Linked DNA regions of Neurospora crassa OR74A. The protein of the gene in region 3 interacts with the protein of the main gene of each other region in a pairwise test. Links are inferred from orthologs where the notes say so. Each region holds a gene or a part of one and is shown on either strand. Other genes may lie near its edges. The genes, in order: NCU02640, NCU07712, NCU01257, NCU01612, NCU06088, NCU03380 and NCU03669.

Region 1 (2,684 bases), on a different chromosome or scaffold from region 3:
GGTGTCACGTCAGTGTTTGTGCGTCGGATGAGGCTCAAGAGGAGGGAATCAGCATACTTGAAGGCAAGCTCGAAGCGGACCTGGTCGTTGCCCTTGCCAGTGCAGCCGTGGGAGACGAACTCGCAGTTGTATTGCTCGGCAACGCGGACCTGGGCACGGGCAATGATGGGGCGGGCGAGGGAGGTGCCGAGGAGGTAGCGGTCCTCATAGATGGCATTGCACTGGATGGCACGGAAGACGATCTGGTCAACGAACTCCTGCTGGAGGTCGAGGATCACCATCTCCTCAGCACCGAGCTTCTTGGCCTTGGCGCGGACCTCATCCCAGTTCTCCTCCTGGCCGACATTGGCGAGGAAGCAGACGACGGTGTAGCCCTGTCGAGTCACTCGGGTTAATATTACAGCTCGGGAGGGGAGCGCGGGGGTTGGTTGGTTTTCTCTACCTGCTCAATCAACCAGCAGAGGATGGTCTGCAGTCACAGATGTCAGTCAATGCGCTCTATAAGATCAGAGGGAAGCTTCAGGAGGACTCACGGAAGTATCAAGACCTGTATACGGTGATCAATTGGTGAGCAATTGCATTCGTGGCAGGCGGATCTCTTGTGTTGTATAGCTCCAGGATCGTACCTCCGGAATAGGCGCTATGAACGGGAGGGACTGTCAGTCAGGCGTCAAAGCTCCAGAATAGCCTGTGCCACAAGTGGAATCACCAGACGTTATTCAACACTGCTCTGGGTGTTACTTACAGACAGACGCGGCCCTTGGACTCAGACATTTTGGCGGATTGGTGCTTGCGGAGGATGGCTACTCTCGACAGTTACAGTTCCTGAACTTGATCTTGTAAGAAAGACAAAGGCGATATCGGGCGGCAACTCGAGGCTTTTTATTAGTGTCTCCCACAGCGTCAAACAGTCGACTGAGTCACTTTATCTTATCACTGCGGGGCAGACCCTGGGATCCAACGTCAGTCACCATCAACATGAGACCAGGCACATCGATGCCGGAAGCAAGGGTGACGAGGGTCCGCCCCGCAGTTTTAACGCCTGTTCTCCATACTACGACCCGCTCAGCGATAACGTTGCAACGACAGGCCCGATAACCAATTCTGCCGTCCAAATTTTTCTGCTCGAGTGCGACCGCATTCACTGACCGCCTTTGGTAGTTCTGCGTCTGGCATCGCCGTCACAACGCTCTGCATCAAACCCAGCTAATGCACGGATTGCTGGTCGACTTTAACGATTCGCAACAATGTCCTCTACTACCACAACAACACAAACAACGTCTCAGGTGGAGACCAAGGCGGTTTCCAAGCCCCTTGGCATGAGGGTCAATGGTAAGTCTTTGTCCGTTACGTTCTGCCATCCTAGGTCGAATGAAGTACTAATTGCCATTATCCTACAGGAAAGCAATGGCACGCCCCCAAAAAGGCCTTCCGTCCCGGCTCCGGGTTGACATCGTATGAGAAACGCGCAAAGGAGAGGCAGTTGCTTGCGGCTGTCAAGGCTAAGGAGAAGGAGCTTAAGGATGAGAAGGAGGCTGAGCGCAAGGTTGGTGCAAATACGAATCCGGGAGACAAGATGCCAGGGGCTGATCCATCATTTCCACACAGAGACGCATCGAAGCCCTCAAGGAGAAGCGGGCAAAGAAGGAGGAGAAGGAACGTTACGAGAAGATGGCCGAGAAGATGCACAAGAAGAGGGTGGAGAGGCTCAAGCGCAAGGAGAAGCGCAACAAGCTTATCAACTCTTGAACGAGGAGGCTGTGAACGGCACTCAGGACATGCGGAACACCACGTCTCACTCCTTTCCGTCCAACGATGGGTACCGAACCGAATCACCGGCCTCGCCGTTCTACCAATGCCCGAAAGACGAAAGCCAAACCCCCTTCGCAGCGCGGCGTCTTCCTCGGCAAATATGATGGTAGCGGCGTTACTTTATTTTGAATGAGTGTCTATAATGGCATGGCATAATTGGAGTTGGAAGTTCGCAGCAGCCACGGAAGGCCGTGGTTTGTCAGGAAGAACTCAGCGGACAGGGCGGATGGATGAGAAACAACCCGGAAAAACAACGCCAAAAAGAAAGGCGTACATCAATGACTAGGTACTGCGGGTGATAAGGGACCACAGCAATATTCTGATACCCCAAGCAATTCTTACACGGAACATAACAAAAAGCTTACCATTACCATTCTTGGTGGCTTTGCAGCCACTTGAAACCCATCTTCCAGGTGATTCTCTTCTCGTGACAAACTTTGGTTGTGGTTATTTTGCTTCAGTTCACATGTCCAGTGAAGCAACCCCTGCACAGGTTGGATAGGTTCCGCGAAAGGATCGTTAAGGCAGCCGGCTTCCCGTCACCGGGCAGTGAGTGCCATTGGTCCCCTGCGCCGCGTCCCCGCCGCGATGCACCTCTGTGAGTCGTCGCAACGTCAGTGGCCCCGTCGACTTTAGGTACATCCTGGCTTACACCTCCACTTTTTGCCTACCCGTAGAGGTACTCTAATCTGGCGTTATTACGCATCATTACACTTTGGTATGTCTCGGAATCACCAGATAAAGCGCGATAAAGAAAAGGAAAGCCGCTCGAGTGCCGTCATGTTTCCGAACGCCCCGAATGGAGTCGAAGGGCTCAAAGGAGGATCCCACTCTCCACATCGTCAGCGACACCAAATCACTCGCTCCATCAC
Region 2 (4,058 bases), on a different chromosome or scaffold from region 3:
AGCTTTGCGTGTAAACACCCCCATTCCTCTAAACCCAAGAAAAATGGCTTCCTTCGATTCGTTGTAAGCTCCGCTACTGCATCGTTGATGAACACATCTTGCAATTGCCGTAGTTGAATATTGCTGCGCATGCTCATATGAAAGAGCATTGCAGGTTCTTCTTGCTCAGCCAATAGGCTTCAACTTCTTTTTCTTTTTCTTATCCGAATCCCCAGACTTGCCCTTTTGAAACGCGCGCCAACTATCGATGCGCTGGTCTCTCGTCTTTTCCCAGTCCTCTTCGTGCTGCCTCTTGCGCTTGCGCTGCTCAGCCTCCTCGTCAGCTTTCCGCTGCTCGCGGCCTTCCTCCTGCATCTGCGCCTTGAGCTGTCTGCGTCGTCGCTGCTCGTTCTCGATCAGCACAAACTTGGTCTTTTCCTGCCACTTCTTTTCAAACTCGGCCGTCTTGAGCTCAGGGCTGTCGACCGTCCATTTGTTCTCGCGGATCAGCAGCATGCGCGCGTCCGCGATAGCTTCGTCTAGGTTCTTGCGGTGCTTCTCCTCCATTAGCTCCGTTTGCGCCTTCTTCAGTCTATCGAACGCCTCAGGCGCCAAGGGGTTTTTGGTCTTGTCGGGATGGATCAGCAGGGACTTTTTGCGGTAAGCAATCTTGATGTCGGATTCGGTCACGCCGGGCTTGAGGCCGAGGACTGAGTAGGCGTCGAGCCGGAAGGCTTTCAAGATACGGTCGATCTCGGCATCCTGTCGGAATTTAGATTGTCAGCAACTACTGAGTTGGGGATGTAAATGTTGGTATAGTTGGGCGTGGTTGTTGTCTGGCTTGCCTTCTCCCACTCCTTGGCTTCAGATTCCAGCACTTCAAGCGCATCCCGAGTGTCGGCAGGAGTTTCGTCTTTGACGTCTTTAACGTCCTTCACGTCCTTAGTGTCTGTCGCCATATTGTCGCCGGAATGGAGGGTCAATCTGGATGCTTGTTTGATCAATTACAAAGGGTTGATGGATAAGTAAGTTCGGTCTACCAAACGGAACGCAACTCCGGGGAAGTTTAGGGAAGTTCAGTAGTTGCGACTTGCGACACCTCCAGGAGCGCGGAAAGCACAGCTAACGCACGCCAGCGCTGCCAAGGCAAACCCACGGGCATGCAATGGGTGTACTTGATAAGCTGATAATGGATAAATGTCACATTGGCCCCACTAAAAAGTCGACCATCCAAAATTTACGGGTGACGGGCAGGCATTGATGGCTACAGTAGACAAGAGACCCCAAGACCCCATCATCATCACCAACCTAAACTCCAACCCACCCCGTCCGTCTTTGCATCTTCAATTAGCGATTCGTGCTGCAATTGGCAGCAACACAACCCTCGCTCACCATGCCTAGACGCGCAGCGTCCCCCACACCGTCCGAGAACGAGGTTGACATCGCGGGTGCTTTGTTCAACAACGACAGCGACTTCGAAGACAACAGCAGCAAGCACCACACCAAGAAGGGAGCTGTTACGAACAGCGGGCTTGACCTCGATTTCAACGATCTTCTCGGTAACGGCGATGATGGACTACCTAGCTTTAATGGCGAGGGCGATGATGACGAAGCCTTTATCGCTTCGCTCACACGGAGCTCGCAGAGAAAGTCCTCCAACATTCAGGGCAAATCAGTCAAGAAGGGTGGAGGTTTCCAGGCAATGGGTGCGTAGTCTTCCGTCCCATGGCATAAGTTGATGATGCTTGGGGCAGCTGCTGATACTCTCCTAGGTCTAAACGCCCATCTCCTCCGAGCGATTACCAGAAAAGGCTTCTCCGTCCCGACCCCCATTCAGCGCAAAGCGATCCCCCTGATTTTAGAAAGAAAAGATGTGGTCGGCATGGCCAGAACCGGTTCCGGAAAGACTGCAGCTTTCGTTATCCCCATGATTGAGAGGTTGAAGGGGCACAGTCCACGTGTTGGCTCGAGGGCGCTCATCATGTCTCCCTCGCGTGAACTTGCGTTGCAGACCCTCAAGGTCGTCAAGGAACTCGGCAGAGGTACCGATCTAAAGACCGTATTGCTCGTCGGTGGTGACAGCCTAGAAGAACAGTTTGGTATGATGGCGTCGAATCCCGATATTATCATCGCCACACCCGGTCGTTTCCTCCATCTCAAGGTTGAAATGAACCTCTCTTTGGCCTCCATCAAATACGTTGTCTTCGATGAAGCTGATCGCCTCTTCGAAATGGGTTTCGCTACTGAGTTGACCGAAATTCTTCACGCCCTCCCTCCTTCCAGACAGACGCTTCTTTTCTCTGCGACGCTCCCATCGTCCTTGGTCGAATTCGCCAGAGCCGGTCTTCAAGAGCCAAGCCTTGTCAGGTTGGATGCCGAAACCAAGGTGTCACCCGACCTCGAGAGTGCTTTCTTCGCAGTAAAGGGAGGTGAGAAGGAGGGTGCCCTTCTCCATCTTCTCCACGACGTCATCAAGGTCCCGCTGGGTCCGCCCGAGGGCACAAAGGAAGAGAGTGACGAATTGCAGGCGAGGAAAAGGAAACGCGAGTACAGGCCCAATCCTAAGGAGAAGCCGACGGAATACTCGACCATCATCTTCACAGCAACGAAACATCACGTCGAGTACATTGCGAACCTGTTGAAACTCGCAGGCTTTGCCGTGTCCTACGTTTACGGTTCGCTTGACCAGACGGCCCGTTTGATCCAAGTTGACAACTTCCGTCGGGGAAGAACACATATTCTCGTGGTTACCGATGTCGCCGCCCGTGGTATTGATATGCCTGCTCTCGCCAACGTCATCAACTACGATTTCCCATCTCAGCCCAAGATCTTTGTCCATCGTGTTGGTCGTACAGCTCGTGCGGGTCAGCGTGGTTGGGCCTATGGTTTGGTCCGTCAGTCAGACGTACCATATCTACTTGATCTACAGCTCTTCCTGGGAAGGAAACTTATTATCGGCCACGATCAGAAGAACCCTTCCTTCGCGGCAGACGTCGTAGTTGGAACACTAAAGAGAGATGGAGTGGATGTTAACATTGAGTGGGTTGAGAAGGCGCTCAAGGAGAGTGCCGATCTCAAGGCGCTGAAGGGTGTTGCCGCAAAGGCCGAGAAGCTCTACATGAAGACGAGGAATTCTGCGTCGAGCCAGAGCGCAAAGAGAGCCCGCGAAGTTACGCAGTCCAGGGGCTGGACACAGCTCCATCCTTTGTTTGGAGAAGAAGCCGCTGAAGCCCAGGCAGCTCGCGATGATCTTCTCAGCAGGATAAACCGCTTCAAGCCCCAGGAAACCATCTTTGAACTTGGCCCTAAGGGCAAGTCTAGCCGCAATAAGGCCGCGGAAGTTGTACGAAACATGCGTTCCAGATTCAAGGAGCGCAAGACTACCAACGACGAGGATGATGAGGACGTGGACATGGAAGATGCCGAGGGTAAACCTGACGGCGAGGAGACCAATGCGTTCGAAGACTTTGAGGATGAGGAAGAGGAGGGAGAGGCGGAAGAGGCAGAAGAGGCGGAAGCCAAGGAAGACCCATACGCCGACGACTCGGATTCGGAGATGGAGGTTACAGTATCCAGCAGCATGCATACGAAGAAGAAGGGTGGCCCGGTCAACTTCCAAGACCCCGAGATCTTCATGTCCTACACGCCTCGCACCACTAGCCTTGCGGAGGAGAAGGCTTACGGTGTTCACTCGGGCGGCTACAGCGGCAACAGCTTCGTCGAGGCCGCTCGCGACGCTACCATGGACCTGACCAACGACGAGAGTGCCAAGAACTTCGGTCTGCCCACGAAATCCAAGATGCGTTGGGACAAGCGTCACAGCAAGTACGTGGCGGTCGCCAACGATGAGGACGGCTCCAAGGGCGCCAAGATGATTCGTGGCGAGTCCGGTGTCAAGATTGCCGCCTCGTTCAAGAGCGGCCGCTTCGACCGGTGGCGCAAGGATAACCGTCTCGGCAAGTTGCCCACGATTGGCGAGACGGAGAAGTCGCAGCTCATCCGCAACTTCGGAGCCCAACCTGGCCAACCGCGGTACAAGCACAAGATGGAGAAGGCGCCCAAGGATGCGGACAAGTTCA
Region 3 (3,720 bases):
CTCTGCTTCATGGTGGACTCTGCACAATGGGAGCACCCACTGACAACATCCGGAGCGGTGAGGATCTTTCCTTGATGGGAATGGAAAAAACCTTTGTCAACCGGGGATATACATCCGCACACATCACACACACCATCCTTTCACATAAACGACTTTCGCTTCTTTTTGTTGGGGATAACTTCACACGGGACTACTTTTCGTCCACACGGAGCTTTCCCTCTTCAATTTTCGACACTCAGGCAACTCACCTTATCTTTCTGGACCCTTTCTCTCTTTTGTCGTTGATTCGACACCAAACACCCTTTGCGGACTGAGGACATCGCCGGCGGGAAACGATGCAGCAACTTCTCTTTGGTTCACACTCTTCGGCAAACGTCACCTGGGAGTCGGCGGACTCACACCTTCCAACCTCAACCTCTTCCATCTGCTGGGAGGGAGCTATTTCGCGACATGCTTCTCTCTTTTGTTGGGTGGGACTTGCACGGGCTTGGGTATGGCGCTTGGTTCACCACTCCTTTTTCTTTGCGCACTTTCTTGGAATTTTCTTGGATAGGACTGTAGAGGAGGGAAGTCTTCCTTTCTGTCTTGGCAGGGAGGGGGGACTCGCGGGATGAAATTTGTGGAGGGGGAGGACCATGTGGGGAGTTTTCACTGTATCTTTCTGATCTTGGTTTGCGGAGGGGAGGGATTGTGGGGGTGAGTTGGCTTGGTTGAAGGATTTGAAGAGTGTTAGTTCTTTTAATAAAAAAAAAACCCCGGTTGACACCATATCTTTGGATGCTCTCATGACCGTGACTACCTCTATGATTGTGAATTTCATTATCATCGTATGCCTCTTCGTAAGACTTTTCAGAGCAACTGACTTTAGTGATAAAGCTGTCAACTTGCAAATGGAACGCTTGATCGATCATCAAGGCAAGATACGCGGAGGAATGGCCTCGGCTCCGAGAAAATATACTACATCCCATTACATGTATCAGCTCGACGTCCCAGACATATTTCTGATCTGTTTCGGCCAGGTTAGGTTCGTGATGTTTGCGCGGGACAAGGCTCCTCCACTGAACGCGAAGTTTGATGTATCAGGAGACTCGTGTTGAATCACCTTGACACAGGCTGCGGGTAGCTTACGAGAAACTGGGCAGAGATACACAGGGCATGGTGATATACACTAGCAATCAATCTTGAGATCACCGAGAAAACGCAGTTCGGTGGGTGACCATCACCGTGACTACAGGCCCATTGTAACTCGTAACCTGAGGGTTGGGGTTTGATGTGCCAGATTCAGAGAGAGTGTGAAGGGCACTTCCAGGAGCTGGGCTGTGGATACCTCTATGCCGGGCGCCAAGCATCCACATTTGGGTCCGCCTCCGACCCACCAGGCTTATCTTATCGGGTAATGGCAGCCGCCATGTCAAAAAAAAGTTTCCAGAACTGCAAGCGCTGCCGCTTCTCGAGCTCATCATCCAAATCGATTGTACAGCAACCCCACATAATCACAATGCCGCGACAGTCCACCCGCACAAAAAAGCCGGCCACCAAGGCTCTTGAGGCTGAGAAGATCGAGAAGATTGTTGAAGAGAAGCCCCAGAAGGAGCAGAAGAAGCGTGGCAGAAAGCCCAAGCAGGTCGTCGAAGAAACCCCTGTAGAGGACAAGATGGATGTCGAGGAGGAGCAGAAGGCGGAAGAAACCACCACTCAGACCAAGGCCGACGAGAAACCAGAGCAACAGGAAGAGGCCGGTTCAGATTCTGAGGAGGGTAGTGACGACGAAGAGGACAACGATCTCGATCTTGATGCACTTGACGAATCCGATTCCGACTCAGAATTCGAGCGCGACCTGAACGAGAAGCAATCCGCCGCCGGCATCCAGGCAAACAAGTACCAGAAGGCCGCCGAGGAATCGAGCGACGAGGAGGAGGACGAGGATGAGATCGACATTGATGAGCTCGACGTCGACGGAGAAGAAGGAGAGGAAGTCAAGGCCATTTCGAGGGCGCGCCAGACAATAAACAACAAGCAAGGTCTCCTGACGGCGCTCAAGCGCTTCGCCCTCGACACAACCGACAAAGTCCCATTCGCCTTCCACCAGTCCATCGTTGCCAAGAAGGTGACGGAGGAGTCCATCCCCTCGATCGACGACGACCTGGCCCGCGAGCTGGCCTTCATGAACCAGGCGCTCGAGGCCGCCCGCGTCGGCCGCGCCCTCCTCCGCAAGGAGGGTGTCCCCTTCACCCGCCCTACCGACTACTTTGCCGAGACGCTGCGCAGCGACGAGACTATGGAGAAGGTCAAGGCCAAGCTTATCGAGGAGGCCACGGCCAAGAAGGCCTCGGCCGAGGCGCGCAAGCAGCGCGACCTCAAGAAGTTCGGCAAGCAGGTGCAGGTGGCCAAGCAACAGGAGCGTGCCAAGCAGAAGCGTGACACACTCGAAAAGATCAATCTTCTCAAGAAGAGTACGTGCCTCTCCTACCCTTCTCCTTCCCCTTCCCTTCTTAATTCCATAACAAGTTCTCTTCCTCTTCCTTCCCCTCCCCAACTTGATGATAACTGAAGCCAACTAACCTCCGCCTCCTTAAATAGAGCGCAAGGACGGCGGTGGCCCCACCGGCGCCAACGAAGCCGAAGACCTCTTTGACGTTGCCGTCGACAACGAGCTCAAGGGCGGCCCTGGCGGCAACAACAGCAAAAAGCGCGGCCGCGACGGCAAGGAGGGCGGCGGGCCCAACGCCAAGAGGCAACGGAAGGATGCCAAGTTTGGCTTCGGCGGCAAGAAGAAGTACGCCAAATCCAACGACGCCCTCTCGTCGGGCGACGTGAGCGGGTTCAGTGCGAGGAAGATGAAATCGGGCGGCCCAGCAGGCGGCAAGCCCAAGAAGTTCAAGCCTGCGCCTAGGCCTGGTAAGGCTAGGAGAAAGGCGGGGGCTGGAAAGAGGTGAAGTGAGTAAGCTTCACTGTGGCAGGAGCGAGAAGAAGCAGTGGAAGTGAAGAGCGGTGTCGATGCCATGATGGGTAATCTGTTTAGTTTCCAACCTAGTACAACAAAAGGTCAGCACGGCAGGTTGGTGACAAAGGTGGTAGTAGCGTGTATGAGTATACATCATCATGGGACCGGTCATACAACAAACATCATTGAAGGATTCAGATCAATTCAGTAGCCACTACCTTTACTTAGATACCTAAAGAGTTCTTTTCATGCCTTACAGTTTGATGGTGTTACCCGCTTGGCTCAAAGGTCCTTTTCTCATATCATTCATCTTGCAGAATGGCTATATCCGTTCACCCGAACAAACGGGTTCCTTACTTTCACCTTCATTCAAAGGCCCCCGATGTCGGCTCGTGAACAAAAACAAATCTCGGTCACTACAGTTTGTGAGAGTATCATCCTGTCACGGACGAGCCGCGCAAGGGCCATCGCTACTTTAAGACTAGGTACTTCAGATACACTAATACACGAGACATCCCCCTTTCACTCCTCGAACCCGCATGGTAAGGGGTTTGATGCGCAACACCATCGTAACGCCTGCTTGCTGCTATTCATCGAGACGAGCCTAAACCCAAACCCAGATTCAGACCCAAATAGACCTGGGAAGACCCATAACCACCAACGCCAGACATAGACCCGCCTTTCCTGAAGCTACAAGCAAATAGAAGAAAGAAACAACAACACAAAGAGCGGCTCATCCAATTCAACCCCACCGCTGTGTGGGATTAGGACGAAAA
Region 4 (4,210 bases), on a different chromosome or scaffold from region 3:
TTGCTGTTCCCGGCGGAAGAGGTCGCACCGGTGCGGGCGATGTTCTCCGTAACGTGTACGAGCGGCGGGCGACTCGGCTTCTCTTTCTCGGTATCCTTGGTCTCTTCACAACGACCACTACCATCAGCTACCACAGCAGCAGCGGAAGAAGACTTGTTCTTTCTCTTCCTGTCTCTACAACGCCACTAACGCGCGCTGCCGCTGCCCTTGATGGCTTGCCTCCGCTTGACCTTGTCGGTGATACGAGTGAGCGCCGACTTTATCTCGCCCTTCTCAAAGGTATCGAGGTCGTAGTAGACGGGGGCAATTTCCTGGTTTACATAGGTCAGTTTCAAGATGCCATTGACAAAGGGAATTCATAAAAGGGGAATACGTACAAGAAGCCACTCAGGACGAATGTTGGTCACTGTCCTGACGTACTGCTTGGTTGTGAGAACGAACTCGTTATAGACGACCCAGTCGTATGGGCTCGTCACCGACGTACTCGGGTGGATCATGACGAGCTGGTCGTCCTTGACCGTCTTGTACACCTTGCTGTTGCTGCTCTCGCGCATGGCCACCTGCATGAAGAAGCCAGCCAGGAGCGCGCGGCGGATGTTGGTGTAGTAGTTCTTGTCCTGGAACGGCGTGCTGACCAGGCTAATGTCGTGCGTCTCCATAATACGCTTGAGCTGAGCCCGGACGTTATCGGCGCTCGACAGGTGACGGTATGAGAGGAAGTGCTCGTGGCACCAGCGCTTCATGTCGTCGCCATTGGTCTCGGCACCCTTGAAGGCGTGGTAGGCGTTCAGCAGCGTCAGGTGGTCGCCGTCGGGGTGGGCGAACTGCATCTTCATCTCGTCGGCCCGCTTACGCGCGTTGTTGGGGCGTACCCATATCGAAGGGACGGAGAGGAGGGACACAATGGAAAGGATCTCGTTGGAGCAGTAGAACTCGGGCGACGAAATAAGCATGACGGCGAGGGCGGGGTCAAGCGGGAACTCGGAAGCCAAACCACCGAGACGCGTAAGCTCACCATCGTCATCTAAGCAGGCGAGGTAGTTAAGCTCCTCCAGGGCGCGCATCATGGTCTCGGGCGCAGGAGGGTCCATGAGATCAAAGTGTACCAAATCCTCAACACCAAGCTTCTTCAACTCCAGAACAGTGTTGGCCAGGTTGGATCGGAGAATTTCAGGATAGGTTTGCTCAATAAGTTCCTTCTTGAAAGCCTTCTCGGTGTAAAGACGGAAGCATTTACCGGGCCGTGTACGACCAGCACGACCAGCTCTTTGCTGAGCAGAGGCCTTCGAGATAGGAGAAACCAACAAAGACTCAACACGAGAGCGGGGGTTGTAAATCTTTTGCTTGCTGAAACCGGGGTCGACGACGTAGACGATACCATCGATTGTCAAGGACGTCTCGGCAATATTGGTCGAGACAATGACCTTGCGACCAGGCCTGCCACCCTTGCGCAGGGGCTCGGGGGCCTTTTCGAAAATGCGCTGTTGGTGCGCAGGAGGGAGAGTGCCGTAAAGAGGGTAAACCTTCATGGGGCCAGCATCCGACTCGCGAATCATGTCGTCCACCTCCAAGCTGATTCTTCGGCAAGCATCCTCAATCTCCTCCTCACCAGTAAGGAACAGCAAGATGTCTCCCTCGGGTTCAGTGGCGTGGATCTGGAGGACGGTCCGTACGGCGGCCTCGAGGTAGTCACGCTCGGGCTCGGGGGTATAGAAGATCTCGACGGGATGGGTACGACCGGGGACGGCGAGCAATGGGGCGTTGTAGAAGTAGGACTGGAACTTTTGGGCATCGAGCGTGGCAGACATGACAATGATCTTGAGGTCTGACCTGCGGGCGGCGATCTGCTTGAGCAGGGCCATGAGGATATCGGTCGCGAGGGTACGTTCGTGGGCTTCATCGAGAATGATGCAGCTGTAGCGGGACATGTCGTGGTCGTGCATGGACTCGCGCAGGAGCTGACCATCCGTCATGTACTTGAGCATGGTCTTGGGGCCGGTCCGGTTCTCGAAACGAATGCTGTAACCGACTTCCTGGCCCAGTTCGACATCCAACTCGTTCGCGACACGCTGGGCAACCGACATGGCCGCCACCCTTCGGGGCTGGGTACAGGCGATGAGCTTGCCGTTCGTGTGGGGGAGCTCGTCGTAGAGGACGTATTGGGGGATCTGGGTGGTCTTTCCGGAACCCGTCTCACCGACGAAGACGAGGATCTGGGTGTTGTGGTACATGTCGAGGAACTCCTGGCGCTGCTTGTGGACGGGGAGGTCGCGCCTCACTTTGAGGATGTCGAAGTATCTCTGCGAGTGCGGCTGGCCGGTCCACGGGTTGAGCTCCGAGTCCTCGGCCTGGGCGGCCTGGGCGGCGGTGGTCTTGTGCCTCTCGAAGGCGTCGAGGGGCGATTCGAAGTCGCCATTGGTGCCGTTGCCGTTGCCGTCCTCGTTGAGATGGGCGAGGTAGGGGTTGTACTTTTCGGGGGCAGCATCGCCATTCTCGGCACGCTTGATGCGCTTTGAGTCCTGGTCGTTGCCGTCCATGTTGGATCTCTTGACGCCTTTGTCGTCGTGGCTGGCCATTGTGGTACCGACCGAGGGCAGCTGGCCTTTTTTTTATATCTTGTTTCTTCGAGCGAGAGGGGTGGGTACTAGGAAACAAAACAAGAAGACCGAACTGAAGGGGAAGAAGAGAAGCGGCGATAGGCAAAACAGAAGGCGGAGTGTCGATTATGGCACCTCCAGTGGCAGTGATGAACAACAGCGAAACAGAGTGGAGGGGAGGGCAGTGGGCAGGCATGCGAGGCTACAACTTTTTTTTTGTTTGATGTCAGGGCGATAGGTCAGACCTGGCCGGCAGTTCCTGGCCGCAGCGACTCTCGACCAATGAGGGGTCACAGTGATAAGCTTCAGTGGAGTAAGGAGTGTCTTTGGCAAGCGCTGATAAGCAAATCACTGTAGCATTGGACAGGACCCTGATGGGCACTAAGACGGTAATTTTCTACACTGTTCTGTAACTGTCAGGTTCACTCAGTTTGTTCCTGCTGCACGTGAAGAAGAAAAAAAAAAGAAAGAAAAAAAGAGGCAAAATGCAGGCAGGTTGATGAAGTTTGTGACATTGTGACATTGTGACATTGTGACTTTTGGCGCATTGGGTTTGTGTGCAATCTTTCTTTCACTCAGCTATTTCATTTTCCATGTACCTATCCATCTATACCCCTCCATACCTGTTTATTTCGAGTTGGTGACCGTTGAGGTTGGACTTTTTCCTCTGGTGCTTCTTCCCTGGAAATATCCACTGCCATGGGGTCAGTCCGTTTTGGGAAAAATAAAAAAAAAGTACCATCCAACTTTGATTTCAGTCTTTACAATTTTCCCTGTGATTGGGTCCGATACCTCATCAAAGTACAGCCTATACATTCTTCTACTGTATACAGGCCCCAGAGACTAGTATAGCTACCTTCTCCGTACCCCTCCCGCTGCTGTTCGTACCACCTCAAACCTAACCTGGACCATCGCGGGGTTATTTACTTCTAGTCTCGTCCACTCTCTTTCACTCACTCGGATTCACATAAAAGTCCAGTCACTCACTCATCATGTCTTCAAATCGCGGGTTTAACCCCGAGTCCGAGTCTTTCGAGCAACGGCCGCCCTTTTACATTGGCCAGCATGATGTCCAACGACATGAGTCGCCCACTGACAATCAGTACGGCCAGATCTTGGACAGTGGTGTAAGTCTTTCCTTACATTAAAGTAGGAAGAGAAAGAAGAACGAGCAACAGCATAAATTCTAACACACATGAGATGAGAATAGTTCAACTTTGTCACCACCCCCATCACCAACGAGCACTTTCACCAGCGCGTGATCGACTTGTACAAGAGCCATCTCCAAGAACGGGAACAGTGGGTCACCGAACGGGGACTCACTGACGCCCAAAAGGCCAACCCGTCGCTGCCACTTCCTACGGTTCCTACCTTGACTGACGACGATACATCCCTGTTTCCCAGCAGCTATGTTGGCTCGCTCATCGCCTATGCCAGCCCATGGATCGACCTCTGCTCTGCCGATCCCATCATCTCAGACATCTCCCGTCAGGTGCTGAACCTCGAGCTCGCCTACGCCAACTTCTGCGGCTCCAGGACCATCATTATCCCCGGCCCAAGACAGGACGATGGCCGTGCCGTTGCTCAGTATGCACGTGCCATTCAGGAGGCTC
Region 5 (4,289 bases), on a different chromosome or scaffold from region 3:
TAATTTATCTACGCGGTATTTCCATCGACTGGCTCGATCTTCCCGCTCCTTGTGGATTACTACATGTGCAGGTAGCTAGCCGGAGAATGGAAGAAAGAAGACTGAAGGATGGGGCGAGGAAAAGGAGGGGAAGCACGAACCCCAAGCGCGCAGGCAGCCCGAACCGCCAAGGTACACCAATAGCTAGCTAGGTGAATCAAGTTCATGGGAAGATGAATGGACAGAAGTTGTGTTAGGTTGTATGTCTCCCTATAGATAGAAAGAGAAGGGGGACAAGATGAGGGGAAATGTCAACGACAGATTCGAGTAGTGGTGACAAAAGATGGACGGATAGATGGAGAGGCGACTAACTGGTCGGCAAAGGGGAACAACACGCACACATGAGGCGGGTTCTCTAGAATAGTACGTTGACAGGTAGATTGACCAGAAAAAAAAAACAAAGAAGATGCCCAAATGTTTTTGATCTTGGAAGTAAACTTGAAACCACAGCCAAGTATCAAATTTCGACCCTCATTGCCATCATATCCCACCCTATAGGGAAGCAGAACACCAAAGCCGCTCCGAGTCCAGCAAATTTCCCAGGAGCACCCTAGGCAGAACTCTCCGAACTCCGGAGAGACCGGCCCCGAACCCGGTCCATGGCAACTTGCAGGACATATGGAATACCGGTAAAGCCAGGGGGCAGCGAAGGACAGCCAAAGGACAGTCAAGGAGGGGGGAAAAGGCCAAACCGCCCACGGCTACCTGCTTTTCAGGTACATATCGGTGAGTCTGACTGTTTCCGCCCGCAACAACTTGGGTGTGGAGGGGGGGAGTTGAGGAATCAGGGGAAAATAGGGTCTACCTTGGCGTTGTCGGCTGCGTTATGCCCACGAGGAGCACGTAAGTTGTACAACATCAACTGGCAGCTTCTCCCGAGCGAAGGTGTTGAATCAAGAAGCATTTGAACGACTCGGGTTGCTGTCGATCACCTTGAAAACGATTAAAAATAAGATCCGGGATAAGGAGGCAAGTAATCGTCGAATCGGGCGTTGCCGTTGTGGGAGTAGTAAAACATTTTGTGTAAAGTGGGCTTTTTTTGTCCTTCTTTCTATATGCAGGACTCATGACGGGTTCCAGAAGCAATGCATCTCTTCAATTTCCACACTTCTACCTCTTCTCTCTTTTTGTTACCGGTATGTCTCTCACACGTGGTCTTATGGTAGGAGACCTGCAGCCCTGTAAGCAAGCCTTTCCAGGGCACAGCCGTCGGCTGCTCTGAAACATGTTTTCTTTTCTCTTTCCCGGTTCCCATGAACCCTCTTCTCTATCCTTAACTGGTGAACTGTCCGAGCTGACGGGGAGTTTGAACTGGCCGGCTGGGACAGGCTGTCGGTAACTGGACCCAGCCATGAAATGGCGTCCTTAACACGTTGCCCTCACTCCACCCACCTCCTTCTCGAATCTTCTCCCTTCAGCCCTCTTTCATTCGGTTCGGGCCCGAGAGCGGTTTGGTGCCTGGTGCCTGGTGCTTGGACGAGGTGGAACTGCAATTTGTATGCACAGCGATAATCGAACCCGGGGGTCACGGCAGCAGCCGCTTTTGTTGAGGTGTAGTAAGCAAGCAAGGTACGGGTTGCGGGACCAGGGTCAGGTAGGAAGGATAAAGTGGCTTGTGACAGATTGATTTTATGAGGCTCGTGAGGGATGAATAAATGTCTGTCTTGCCCGCCTTTCAGTATCATTAGTGGACACGGCCAAAACTTAAGGCTGCAGGTTGGCGGTTTGGCAAAGGTGAAACGCTGTCTTATTTTGCAGCACGATGCATGGCATCTAACCAGGGTGACAAGCAACGGAGGAAACGGGTGGAGTAGCCGGCTGTCGTTCAAGGGGAACTGGGACTGGAACTGAAGGGCTGGAAAGGGGTATCATTAATGTTTGTTGAGGCCCAGCTGCCTCGCTGATCCTGGATATCTCCGTGTTTAGGTCAGAAACAAAGAAGGGGCGATGTGCTCTCAGTTGGTCTGTGGAGGGAAGCTGGCAGGCGCGGATCTTCCTGAGGACTGGATTTTGACCCATGTGAGGTTGGTGAGAAAGGCCCAGTTGCCATCCCACCGATCCAACATCTCGGTGGTCTTTTCATTGGTAAGGTCGGGAAGGTCTGTAAATTGGTCAGCGACAAGCTGTCCCACGAAGAGAAACAATGGGAAAAGGACTTACAGAAACCATCACGCTCTTCCTTGTGAAGCGCCTCCATCTTCATCCTCAAAAGATCCTCCCTGGCGCTGGGCGGCCTGCCCTGACGGCGAGCCCTTTTCATTTCGTGATATTCCTCATCATGTTGATGGCAGAATCTGGGTGGATGGTTAGAGATGGTCCCACCAATATTGGCACAGTCGCAGTTCACACTCACTCGGCAATTTTCTTTTGGATGGCGGAGAGCTCGAGCGGCTTGTTCTCATTTTCACGAGTAGCCTCTTGGAAGAAGGCGATACGGGTGATCAAAGGCTGGTCCCTCTTGCGCCTGGCCTCGGACATCTTCTCGAGACGATCATCGCGAACCTGGGCCTTGTGAAGACGGCGGGAATCACGACTCTTGGCGTGGAGGGCTTCAATGGCACCGCCCCTCTTCTTCGCAATGGCCTTGCGTGCTTTTTCGAGAGTCTTGGGCATGATGAAGAGTAGGTGTAGATCAGTAATTTTGGGAGATGAATGAGATGGTTGTACTTGTTGTGTTGGTTGGTGAAGACCAAGGTACGTATTTCAACAGGTGAATTGCACGTACGGGACTTGCCCTTTGGCGGTTGGGATGGAATTTTTCGATAAGCGGCCAGCGAACTGGGGACAGTGGGGTATCAAGACTTAGCCTACCGATAAGGTTTACTTGTACAGGTACCTAACGTTAGACGCTGTCAGGGCTGGTAACTGTTTAAGTGGTTGCAGCTTGGATGGGGTTTGATTGGAGAATAGCACTGCGTTCCATGTCTTGGCGACGAGCTCTGTGGTCGAGCTGTTAGTTCAACTAGGACCTCCAGTAGGTAAGGAGCTACCATTATAGTGTAACGAGCCTACTCGGAGGTACCTCTACATACTCGCGCAGTAGGAACCGTCTCTCTGATCTGGAAAGTGACATGTTTACACGGTGAAATACCCCCATTGACTTGCATTGAAGTCTCATCAAATGGTGTGTAGAATTGTTGCCATTCACACAGTCCAATTCCAGATTTTTGAGTGATCAGAAGCACATGGGATACATACCATCAAGACATTACCTACTGTAGAGTGAGGGTAAATCCCTAGGTGGACGACGCCTCCCCACCTCATTGTTTTGTGCACAAACAAAGCCGGCATTGCTTGGATGCCCCTGAATGCCCCGCATGGATCGGATGGATCAGCGATTGACAGGCATGTCGCCTGGCACAGTCTGGTCGCGGGGGCAACGACGCGGTACGCGCTTCCCTTCCATTTTCTGGAAACCTGCCACCCCAGGCGATTTTGGGTCGTTTTACGGGGGCGGGAAGGCGTGGATCGGCTCCATTCTCCCATTCTTTGCACTGGCAACTGGAACCTTTGGTTTTTGGGGGTCTGGTGGACTGCGGCAAAAGTGCCTGCCCGGCCATTTCACCACCAATTTTTGCAGTGCCTGCCTGCCCTTCACCGGCCCTAGACTAGAGGTAGAGGTCGGGTATCGCCTACCTATCGAGACGGGACCGCAGCAGCCCTTGTCAGTTGTCAGGCAGGCAGGTCGTCCCCCGCCCGAGATTTCCAGTGGCTTGAGTTCACACTTCCCTTGAGGGCAACTTCACCTTTCCTCTTCCGTGGTGTGCAGCAACCCCCTCGAGCTCACCTTCCTCCCTCGCCTCATACCTACCTCTACCTAGGAAACGAGGTCGTTGCATTTCCGGCCTCCAAACTCGCCAATCCTCCAGTGGCTTGGTGAGAACTGCACGCCTTTCAACCATTCAATCATAGAGGTGGTATCGGGACGACGCCAGGGCATCGCTCGCTTGGGCTGTCCATTACTCTCACTCCACAACAAACCAAAACAAAACAAGACAAAAACATCGACAAAACAGTGGGTTGGCACATCGTTTGCAACCACCCGCATCAACGCACAGCATACTACTACAGTACGGAAACAGTATACACGCATCCTCGACTGCAGGAACCACGCCAATTCTTACATACGTAGCCTCCGCATCATCACCTATCTTATTCGGCCCCCGATATCTCACCGCAGTTGCCACCACTCGACAGGGAACACAAGTTCCATGGCCTCGTCAGTCGTGTGAGCCTTTGTTCAACTTGTC
Region 6 (3,955 bases), on a different chromosome or scaffold from region 3:
TCTTCGCCTGAATCACAGTCAAAGGCATACTGATGAATGAGAACATCGAATTTGGTTCCGGTACAATGCATGTTTTTCTCTGAACATGATGGTCCTTACAGCTCAGACAATAAAGATTCAATTAACTGCAAAACCTTGTCCCACTTCTAATCATGTTAACCCGGCGTGTGGTTGAGAGAACAAAACCGAACATGGACACTTCAACGTTATCCATCCTACTAGGGAAGGAAGGCCGTTGCAAGGCTGTGATATGCCTCCTTATGACTTGGAACCACGCCGTCCAGAGTCTATTAGGGATTATTTGGTTCAGGAAGGAGTTTGAAGATTGCCTAGAAGATAAAATCAAGACGCATGCATGCGAGCAAGAGTATACTGAAGGTGTGATGTAGTGGACTGAATACATTGGTTTGGTTTGTTCATACGAACACTTTGTTACCACAATGTCTCGAATTTCGAGAACATTTGTGATATCGATACTGTGTCTCCATTTGGGTGTTATGATAGATATTGTCTCAGGCAAAACAGCTGTACTTTTCGAGTACACCCATTATCATGATTACCATGAGGACTCATGGATACAGCATGCCAAGAACCAACAAAATTCCAATTCATCAAAAGGGTATATACGCCTCATACGCCTTTACGTCTTAGAAAATGAACCATTACCATCAACTCCCATTACCCAAGAAGCTACTCAATCATCAAACCCACCAAACTCTTCATCACTATCGTCCACCTTCTTCACCGGAGCCTTCGGCTTGGGTGGGTTCGCCGCAAGCGCAGCTGCCCTCTCCTCCGCCGCCTTGGCCTCGTTCCGTTTCCTCACCTCCTCAATCATCTGCTCCAGCTTGAGATGCTCCTCCTTCTCTTTCTCCGTCATCTCGCTGAATTTCTTGGCCTCCCTCTTTCTCCTCTTCTTCTCGCGCCTCTGCAGTTTCGTCTCCTCCTGTTCCGCCTTGCCGCTCCACGCCTCGTTCTTCTTGCGCTTGTCGCCCGTATTCTCTTCCTGTGCCCGCTTTGCCTTCTCCTCCTTCCACTTGGCCAGCTCTTCCTGACGCTTTTTCTCGCGCACCTTGTCCTTGAAAGGAATTTCTTCCGTGTTGATGCCCAGACCCAGAGAGCGGTCGATCTTGGCTTCGCGGACTTCGGGCATCTTGGGCAGCTCGAGAAGGCCGTAGCCCTTGGCTAGGTCGAGCCAGTCGAGGTCGGCGATGCGGAAGATGGAAGAAGCTTGGTGTTCGATGTAGGAGCGCGTCCAGGAAACGAAAGCGAGCTGGGCCATCTGGAAGATCTCGCGGTCGGCGAGGGCTTGCGATCGGAAGGCGGCGGAGACGCGCTCGACTTCATCAGGGGTGACGGAAATGGCGGGCTTCTCCAGGGGCGTGATGGGAGTTTGACGGACTTCAAGAAGCTGTACGTAGCCTTCCTCGCGACCCGGCTGGAGCAGAACGACGGCGAGACCCCGACGACCGGCACGGCCGGCACGACCGCAGCGGTGAATGAAAACCTTGGTGTCCGTGGGCGGGTCGTGCTGGATAACGAGGTCGACTTGGGGGATATCAAGACCGCGGGCGGCAAGATCGGTGGTGAGGAGGACCATGGGCGAGGTGGTGTTGACGAAACGCTCATAGTTCTTTTCGCGGACTTTAGGTTCGAGTTTGCCGTGCAGGGAGGTGACGGAAAAACCGGCGGGCAGGACGGCGCCGAGAATGCGGCTGAAGTACTTGACGGCCATGCATGAAGAGAAGAAGATGATGGATCGCTGGGGCCTGGGCTCGAGCTTTTCGAGGAGCTGGACAATTGCTGGCATTTTCTGGCTGGCTGGGGTAACAAGGTAGCTCATCTGTAGAGACATTGGTGTTTTCCTCTCTTGAATTATGCCACCGTCCTTCAGACTCTTCACTCTGACGGTGATCTTGTGTGGGTACAATAGACCAACTGTAATCAGCCTTTCAACGGCGTCACTGAGCGAAGCACTGAAAAGACCAGTACGGCGCTGCTTCGGAAGATATCCGAGAATGCGGTTGAGCTCGTTCGCGAAACCCATATCGAGAAGGCGATCGGCCTCATCCATAATGAGAACCTCAAATGTAGACGCGGGAGCCTTGACGTATGCGCTCGACAAGAGTTCGGCAAGACGGCCGGGAGTGCCAATTAGGAGATTCGGGGAAAGACGAAGGAATGTACCGAGATCCTCAGCAGCCTTGGTGGTGCCTCCGACAAGTAGTTGGGGGACAACGACAGGCTGGGTTGCTGTTGGGCGCTTCTCGTCGCTTTTGGCGTGGGAAATGGCTTCAGCGGAGGGTTCGTGAAACTTGACGAGGGAAACGAGGACATTGTAAATCTGGGTTGCAAGTTCGCGGGTGGGCGAGATGATAATGCCTTGGACATGGTTTCGCTTGGCTGGTTCTTCGCCGCGCAGGAGTTTCTGTTGCAGAATCGGTTAGCATATGATCATCCTGAGCTGGTAGACAGCAAGAGATCCGGCTTACCTCAACTACCGGAATCAAAAAGGCAAGTGTCTTTCCACTGCCTGTTACGGCCTCGACGACAACATCTTTATTTCCACGGAAGAGCTCAAGGCATGACTTTTGAACGGGAGTCGGCTGGGTAAAGCCCATGGAGGAGAGGTAGTCAAGAATCCATTGGGCGAGAGGAGGCGTGAGAGCGTCCCAAGACCTTGGAGGCTTCCGGACCTTAGTCTGTGGTTGGGTAGGCGCCATGTTAATTATGTGGTTGGCGGAGTATCGGGGCGTTGTAATCGATCCCTGAAGCTCTGCGTATTGCCCGTGGTGATAGCAGTGCGATGCTGTTGAAACAAAAATTGGCCTGGCGACCATCCAAACAATCCTTATCTTATCTGCCTATCGATAAAGCTAGCGTGAGCGTAACCTCGCAAGTTGCATACAGTACACAGCAGCCTTCACTTCTTTCGAATCCAATTTGATCGGTCCAAACCTAAAGATCTTCCCATTAGATTTCAGAAATTCGTTGGACAACTCACGACTTATACTAATTATATCCCAGATGTGCGCTCAAGCCGTTTTGTATCGTGAATATCAATAGACAGCTTTCGGATCTTCACGATCGTCTGTTGTTACTAGTGCAATTATCAGATATTGGAATGTGGGTCTCATCGAAGAACCCACGCAGCCACGGCAACCTGACAAAGGCTTGATCTTATTTGCTTACATGGTATAGGTAGTGTAATGCTACAACTGAAGGTGTCAATATTCAGCTCGACTAAGCTCCAGTGGCTCCCAAAATTGAAGTCTACGTCGTCTTCATCCAACCTTGTTTGACGACTGGCCGTCTGCTCAAGTCCATGATAGGCAAACATGCTAAGAACGCTTGAACCACTTTTACATGATGAGGAGATTGTGTACAAAGAAATCCCCATCAACCGAGATCGACCAAGGTGATGAACGTCAACGGTTGAGCAGAGTACAAAGTCTCTTTTCAACAAGGCACGGCAATATACTATGGTATAGGTATATCGAGCAACGCCTGGCATGAACTGAAAATGGCGGCATTCACGCCCAACCGTCTTCCTTCAGTTCAGTCTCAACTTCCTGTTGTCACATGCAAGGTCGCGTCGCTGTGTGCTGTTGCTGCTCTTGAAAGGCCACCACCCACCAATGTCATCACGCCTTGCCGCAATTGGGGTAACGGACCAGGGCAGTGAGCTGGGGAGCCCGGTGCAACCACCTGAAGCGCAACGCAGGACACGCGCCGGCTGATTCCCACTCGCACTCATGGCCGGGCATCCGCAACAGCCGAAATTTCTGTTCTTCACAAACACCGAACCACTGTCATTCGTCTATGATCGTCATCACTGGATCCTAAACCAAGTCCAGCCCAGGGTAACGTGCCACCTCAGCCACCGAGTACGGGTACAGTTTCTTTTTTTTCCTGCTTTGCACATCTTTTTTTCCTCTTGCTGTCAAGATACCCT
Region 7 (4,258 bases), about 1.4 Mb from region 3:
GGATCCACCATCTTGTACCTGCCCTTGACTATAAAATTGAAAAAACCGAGTTAGCATCATTCCAACATAAAGAACACACCAGATCTTAAGGTAGTGATAGTACGAACCTCCTTTAGGTCTGCCCTGGAGACCCTTGTTGGAACCAGCAGCCTTGACAACCTTGATAGGCGCCCTCCTCGTCTTCTTAGCAACCGACGCCATGAGCTTCGAAATGCTAGCAGCCTTTTCCTTTTCTGACATGCCATCGTCACCGGCAAGCATATCGGCCTTCTTCTTGAGCTTCTCCAGCCTCTGGGCCTGCTTGAACTTCTTCCTGGCCTTGGCCTCGGCCACCTTCTTGATAGGACGGGCGTTGTAGGCCCGGAGCTTCTCCTTAATGGCCTGCGCTGCGGCCTTGGTGATGGGCTTGTGCGGCTTGTCGTGCTTGGACTCGTCGTCAAGGAACCAGTCGGGAAGACCGTCGCGGTCCTTGAAGGCGTGCTTGGTGTAACCGTCGTCGATGACGTCGTAACTTGTCTTCTCGCCGGTCGCGAGCTGGTGGGCGAGGGTCATGGCCTCGGCGGTGATGATGTCGATGTCTGTAGTTGTCATAGTCAGCCATTGCCCTTAACAGGTCATACTGAAGAGGGACTGAGTGAAACTTACCAGGCCTGCCGTTCTTCTTCTTCTTCTCAACGTTCTCCCAGTCGTCATCCTCGTTGTTCTTGACAACCTCGAAATCGTCGTCGTCATCGCTCTCCTCGGCCGCCTTCTTGCTCTTGGCCTTGGTTTCCTTGGCTTCCTTCTTCTCCTTCTTGGTAACCTTGAGGTCCTCCACAGCCTCAACAAGCTCAGCCTCCTGAGCCTCCTCCTCCTCAGATTCTGGCTCCTCCAAAAGTCCTGGTATCTCCGCAAAGATACCTTGACTGAAGAAGTTCTTGGCCCGCTTGGACAGACCATCCTTCTCTTCTGGCTGGCCGTCTAGATCTGTTATAAGTTTCTTGCCAGATTCACCATCCTCTGAGTCGGAATCATCATCACTGCTGTCCACTTCTAGTTCCTCATCGTCATCGTCGTCGCTACCCTTCTCCTCATCGCCAGATACGCCTTCCCATTCATCGTCGCCGTTCTCTTTCCTGGCCTTCTTGGCACGGTACTTGGCATCGGCCGCCGCCTTCCGCTCCCGGTACTGATCGTACAGGTTGTCGAGCTCTTCCTCCAGACGATCGGCCTCCTCGTCGCTCTCGTCGGTTTCGCCGTCGGAGCCAAAGTCGTAATCCTTCGGTTTCTCGGTCTCTTTGATAACGGCCATCTTGCCCTTGGCGATCTTATTCAGGGCAGCGTTCTGGTCGATAGTCTTGAGACGGAACATGGCACCCTCACCACGGGGACCTTCCTGCTCCACACCAATATCCATGGGCGCAGTCATGTTCATCTGCATGCGGACAATCTCCTTTTGCTTCTTCTCATTCTCGCGCCTCCTCTCGCGCTTCTTCTTGGAGGTCTCCTTCTCCTTGATCCTTTGCAGCTCCTCCTGGATCCTAAGCTCCTCATCCATGTTCTCCACTACCGCAACCTCCTCGTCCACAGCTGCCTTCTGGGTCTTCTTGGAGGGGAAGCCGAAGATCTCCCGTACTTTTAGACGCCATTTTAAGAGAAGCTTGAACTCTTTCCTGCCGAGCACTTTGAGATCGGCGCAGCAGAGACGGATTTCTTCGGTCGTTTCGGGGAGCTTGTCGAGGGCAGCCAATGCTACATCGCCGTTCTTGGGTTGCTCAAAGCTGAGTTTGTTGTACTGGCCGAGAATGGCGATGGGATCGACAGTGTTGATGAACTCGCTGGCAGAGATCTCCTTGAACTGGGTGTAGTCTCCCTCCTCATAACCCTCTCTCTTTCTCTTCTTGACTTCGGGGTTGTACACCTTGGCTTCGTTGTTGGGGGCGGGGCCGGCCACATCCTCGAAAACGGAGCGGGGGTCGAGAAGCTTGGGGTCAATGCGCTTGGGGGCCTTGAAGCCGCGGCAGACGACGAAGATTTCGGCGGAGACGTTACGGGACGAAGGGGGCTTCGTAGCCTCGACCTTGGCGAAAAGCTGGTTGCAAACCCAGAGAAGGGAGTTGTAGTCCTTGGATCTGAACACCTTGGTGACGAACGTACCGCCCTCAATAAGGAACTCGGTGGCCAGCTTTAGCGAGTGCAGGGCAAGTTCGGCCTGGTTGTACGAATCCTGGACCCAAGCAGTACCGACGTTGGGCGCACCATCGTGAAGAACGACGTCGGCCTTCCATGTCTTGAGATGGGAGCGGATGGTTGCGCGACACTTTTCGGTGGTGATATCGCTCTGGAAGGTAATGACCTTGGGGATGGGCTTGATGGGAGCAAGATCGACACCGATGATGATGGAGTTTGTCGGCATAGTCTCGGCGCAGACTTGACACCACGACTAGGGACGGACACAGACATGGTTAGTTCACTCCATGATAAACTGGATGTTCACGACTATGACTTACACCGGGCGCAGCGCAAAGATCGAGAGCGACCTTGCTTTTCTCGAGGAATCCATACTTCTTGTTGAGCTGGATCAGCTTGAAGGCGGCACGGGCACGATAACCCTTCTCCTTGGCAAGCTTGTACCACTTGTCAAGACGGCCCTTGCCGTGTTTCTTTTGGATCGCCATGGTGCCGGTGCTCTAAGTCGGGGGGTGTTTCCGACTGGTGTTGTTGAGCAGGACGACCTGGTGACTTTTTTGGGTTGGTGAAAATGGCAGTCCGGGTGCCCTTTGACTGTTCTTCCCTCCAGCACTCGCAGCGCAGGGATTGCAGGGTCGTCGTTGCAGAATGATTTTTTTGGATGACAGCTGCAGGGCGATAAGCGATAAGAGACTGGACTCCGGCGGCTGGTGGGGCAACGAGCAAGACGGGCCCCATCAGGGTGGGCCAGACATCCCGCGGTTGAAGTGCAGTGCATTGACCAATCTTCATGTCTTCAGCAACCGCGATTTATGGGACGAAAAAGCCATTAAGCTTTCGCGATGCAGCGCGTCATTTGTTCCCGCGTCTTCGCGTTCCCCTGATGGAGCACTAAACCGCATTCCTTCTAGGCGCCTCCCCCCCGACCCCCGGCCGCTACGGACCGCACGCCCAGCCTCTGCCCACTGGAGGAGGTGTTCAATGGAGTCCATGGGTGGTCAGGCCAGGTCAGGTCAGGTTTCCATGGCTGTCGATTTGGTTGCCCGGCAAACCTAGGTACTCAAGTGGGAACTCAGCAAAAGCGTAGGTACTTCTAGGAACTGAACCACGCAAGGGAAATCCACAACAGAAACGAACAACCAAATCCAATTCCATCACATCTCCACCTACGCATTCAATTTCAAGTCCATACTACCAAGGACACACTTACACCAGAAACCGACATAGACATACCCCTTCCGGCCGCACCACTTCACTCAGAGGACCCATACTACTACGACCAAATCCGCCAACCAATAAACTCGGCGCCAATACCTTACGCCCCCCCCGGCCGCCTACCTTGTCTCTCAACGACGACCTCGACCTCCCGTCCTTCTTCAAGCTCAGCCTGCTTGCTGCACACAGCCTAGCCTGCAACTTCGACGTCAGCCCTTGTCCAATATCCAGTCGACACTTGCCAGCAATACCTCTGCGCCAGCTGTTGCTCAACTGATTCTGTACAAATATCCATCACCACAGCCTGTTCTCTGTCTCCGCGTACCCTTGCCATCGGCGGCCCCTCGCTGCCAGGTCGCGCGCATCCAGCGTCGCCGGCCCCGTGTACATCGTCTCTAGGTATCGTGTTGCATAAGCGGCCTGGACCCAGCTCTTCGCTCTGGTAGTCGAAGAGAATCCTTTCGCCATGGCCGATAACTCCAACAGCACTTCAACCCCTTTGGGAGTTAAGAGCTCGTCGTCGTTGAACACCAGCAACAACATTCCCCCCATTCCGTCCTCTCCTCCTCCGCGAAGCGCAGCCAAGGAACGTCGAAACCCGTCCATCACCCCCCGGAAATTCAGGCGCTTCTTTACTCCCCGAGTCATAGCGAATAACCACCCCAGCGCTTCCCAAAGAGCTCTTCGTGATCTAGCCGGTCCTCTCATAGAACGATCTCATACTCCATCCAGTCCTCTCAGGCCCATCTCGGAAGAGGAAATCCCAGATGTGTTACCGAGCCTTCAGGATGGCCAGAGAAGCTCCAAGCGTCGAAAGATCACTCATGCTTCAACACCCAAGAGGGCTGAGGCATCGCACGTATCCCACCTACCC

The links.
Region 1: the proteins of NCU01257 (region 3) and NCU02640 interact in binary tests that used the Saccharomyces cerevisiae proteins (3 or more experiments, as listed by UniProt). The link is inferred for Neurospora crassa OR74A from reciprocal best matches to the Saccharomyces cerevisiae genes EBP2 and CGR1.
Region 2: the proteins of NCU01257 (region 3) and NCU07712 interact in binary tests that used the Saccharomyces cerevisiae proteins (3 or more experiments, as listed by UniProt). The link is inferred for Neurospora crassa OR74A from reciprocal best matches to the Saccharomyces cerevisiae genes EBP2 and DBP10.
Region 4: the proteins of NCU01257 (region 3) and NCU01612 interact in binary tests that used the Saccharomyces cerevisiae proteins (3 or more experiments, as listed by UniProt). The link is inferred for Neurospora crassa OR74A from reciprocal best matches to the Saccharomyces cerevisiae genes EBP2 and PRP43.
Region 5: the proteins of NCU01257 (region 3) and NCU06088 interact in binary tests that used the Saccharomyces cerevisiae proteins (3 or more experiments, as listed by UniProt). The link is inferred for Neurospora crassa OR74A from reciprocal best matches to the Saccharomyces cerevisiae genes EBP2 and TMA16.
Region 6: the proteins of NCU01257 (region 3) and NCU03380 interact in binary tests that used the Saccharomyces cerevisiae proteins (3 or more experiments, as listed by UniProt). The link is inferred for Neurospora crassa OR74A from reciprocal best matches to the Saccharomyces cerevisiae genes EBP2 and SPB4.
Region 7: the proteins of NCU01257 (region 3) and NCU03669 interact in binary tests that used the Saccharomyces cerevisiae proteins (3 or more experiments, as listed by UniProt). The link is inferred for Neurospora crassa OR74A from reciprocal best matches to the Saccharomyces cerevisiae genes EBP2 and SPB1.

What each region holds. Positions count from the first base shown.
Region 1 is NC_026501.1:3,023,072-3,025,755, forward strand, and holds NCU02640 (hypothetical protein), read left to right. Parts: upstream 1-1,213; 5' UTR 1,214-1,247; coding exon 1,248-1,332; intron 1,333-1,400; coding exon 1,401-1,546; intron 1,547-1,608; coding exon 1,609-1,749; 3' UTR 1,750-2,184; downstream 2,185-2,684. Other genes in the region: arg-1 (argininosuccinate synthase), read right to left, coding at 58-374, 443-469, 534-547, 627-640, 746-774; NCU02641 (hypothetical protein), read left to right, coding at 2,533-2,684. UniProt on the Saccharomyces cerevisiae protein: Involved in nucleolar integrity and required for processing of the pre-rRNA for the 60S ribosome subunit.
Region 2 is NC_026504.1:2,109,937-2,113,994, forward strand, and holds the start of NCU07712 (ATP-dependent RNA helicase dbp-10), read left to right. Parts: upstream 1-1,258; 5' UTR 1,259-1,372; coding exon 1,373-1,685; intron 1,686-1,751; coding exon 1,752-4,058. Other genes in the region: NCU07713 (DnaJ domain-containing protein), read right to left, coding at 166-741, 825-938. UniProt on the Saccharomyces cerevisiae protein: ATP-binding RNA helicase involved in the biogenesis of 60S ribosomal subunits and is required for the normal formation of 25S and 5.8S rRNAs.
Region 3 is NC_026505.1:3,393,320-3,397,039, reverse strand, and holds NCU01257 (hypothetical protein), read left to right. Parts: upstream 1-1,442; 5' UTR 1,443-1,498; coding exon 1,499-2,453; intron 2,454-2,580; coding exon 2,581-2,936; 3' UTR 2,937-3,220; downstream 3,221-3,720. UniProt on the Saccharomyces cerevisiae protein: Required for the processing of the 27S pre-rRNA. Probably involved in the step of the processing of the 27 SA precursor into the 27 SB intermediate.
Region 4 is NC_026502.1:2,956,782-2,960,991, reverse strand, and holds the start of NCU01612 (pre-mRNA splicing factor ATP-dependent RNA helicase PRP43), read right to left. Parts: upstream 2,801-4,210; 5' UTR 2,577-2,800; coding exon 378-2,576; intron 312-377; coding exon 186-311; 3' UTR 1-185. Other genes in the region: pp-2 (protein arginine N-methyltransferase HSL7), read left to right, coding at 3,590-3,724, 3,808-4,210. UniProt on the Saccharomyces cerevisiae protein: Pre-mRNA processing factor involved in disassembly of spliceosomes after the release of mature mRNA.
Region 5 is NC_026507.1:1,853,803-1,858,091, reverse strand, and holds NCU06088 (hypothetical protein), read right to left. Parts: upstream 2,801-4,289; 5' UTR 2,653-2,800; coding exon 2,393-2,652; intron 2,334-2,392; coding exon 2,200-2,333; intron 2,141-2,199; coding exon 1,995-2,140; 3' UTR 429-1,994; downstream 1-428.
Region 6 is NC_026502.1:904,126-908,080, reverse strand, and holds NCU03380 (ATP-dependent rRNA helicase spb-4), read right to left. Parts: upstream 2,801-3,955; 5' UTR 2,724-2,800; coding exon 2,493-2,723; intron 2,429-2,492; coding exon 695-2,428; 3' UTR 384-694; downstream 1-383. UniProt on the Saccharomyces cerevisiae protein: ATP-binding RNA helicase involved in the biogenesis of 60S ribosomal subunits. Binds 90S pre-ribosomal particles and dissociates from pre-60S ribosomal particles after processing of 27SB pre-rRNA.
Region 7 is NC_026505.1:2,021,227-2,025,484, reverse strand, and holds the start of NCU03669 (AdoMet-dependent rRNA methyltransferase spb1), read right to left. Parts: upstream 2,801-4,258; 5' UTR 2,658-2,800; coding exon 2,490-2,657; intron 2,423-2,489; coding exon 646-2,422; intron 579-645; coding exon 108-578; intron 29-107; coding exon 1-28. Other genes in the region: NCU03668 (WD domain-containing protein), read left to right, coding at 3,851-4,258. UniProt on the Saccharomyces cerevisiae protein: Required for proper assembly of pre-ribosomal particles during the biogenesis of the 60S ribosomal subunit. Specifically methylates the guanosine in position 2922 of the 25S rRNA at the stage of 27S pre-rRNA maturation.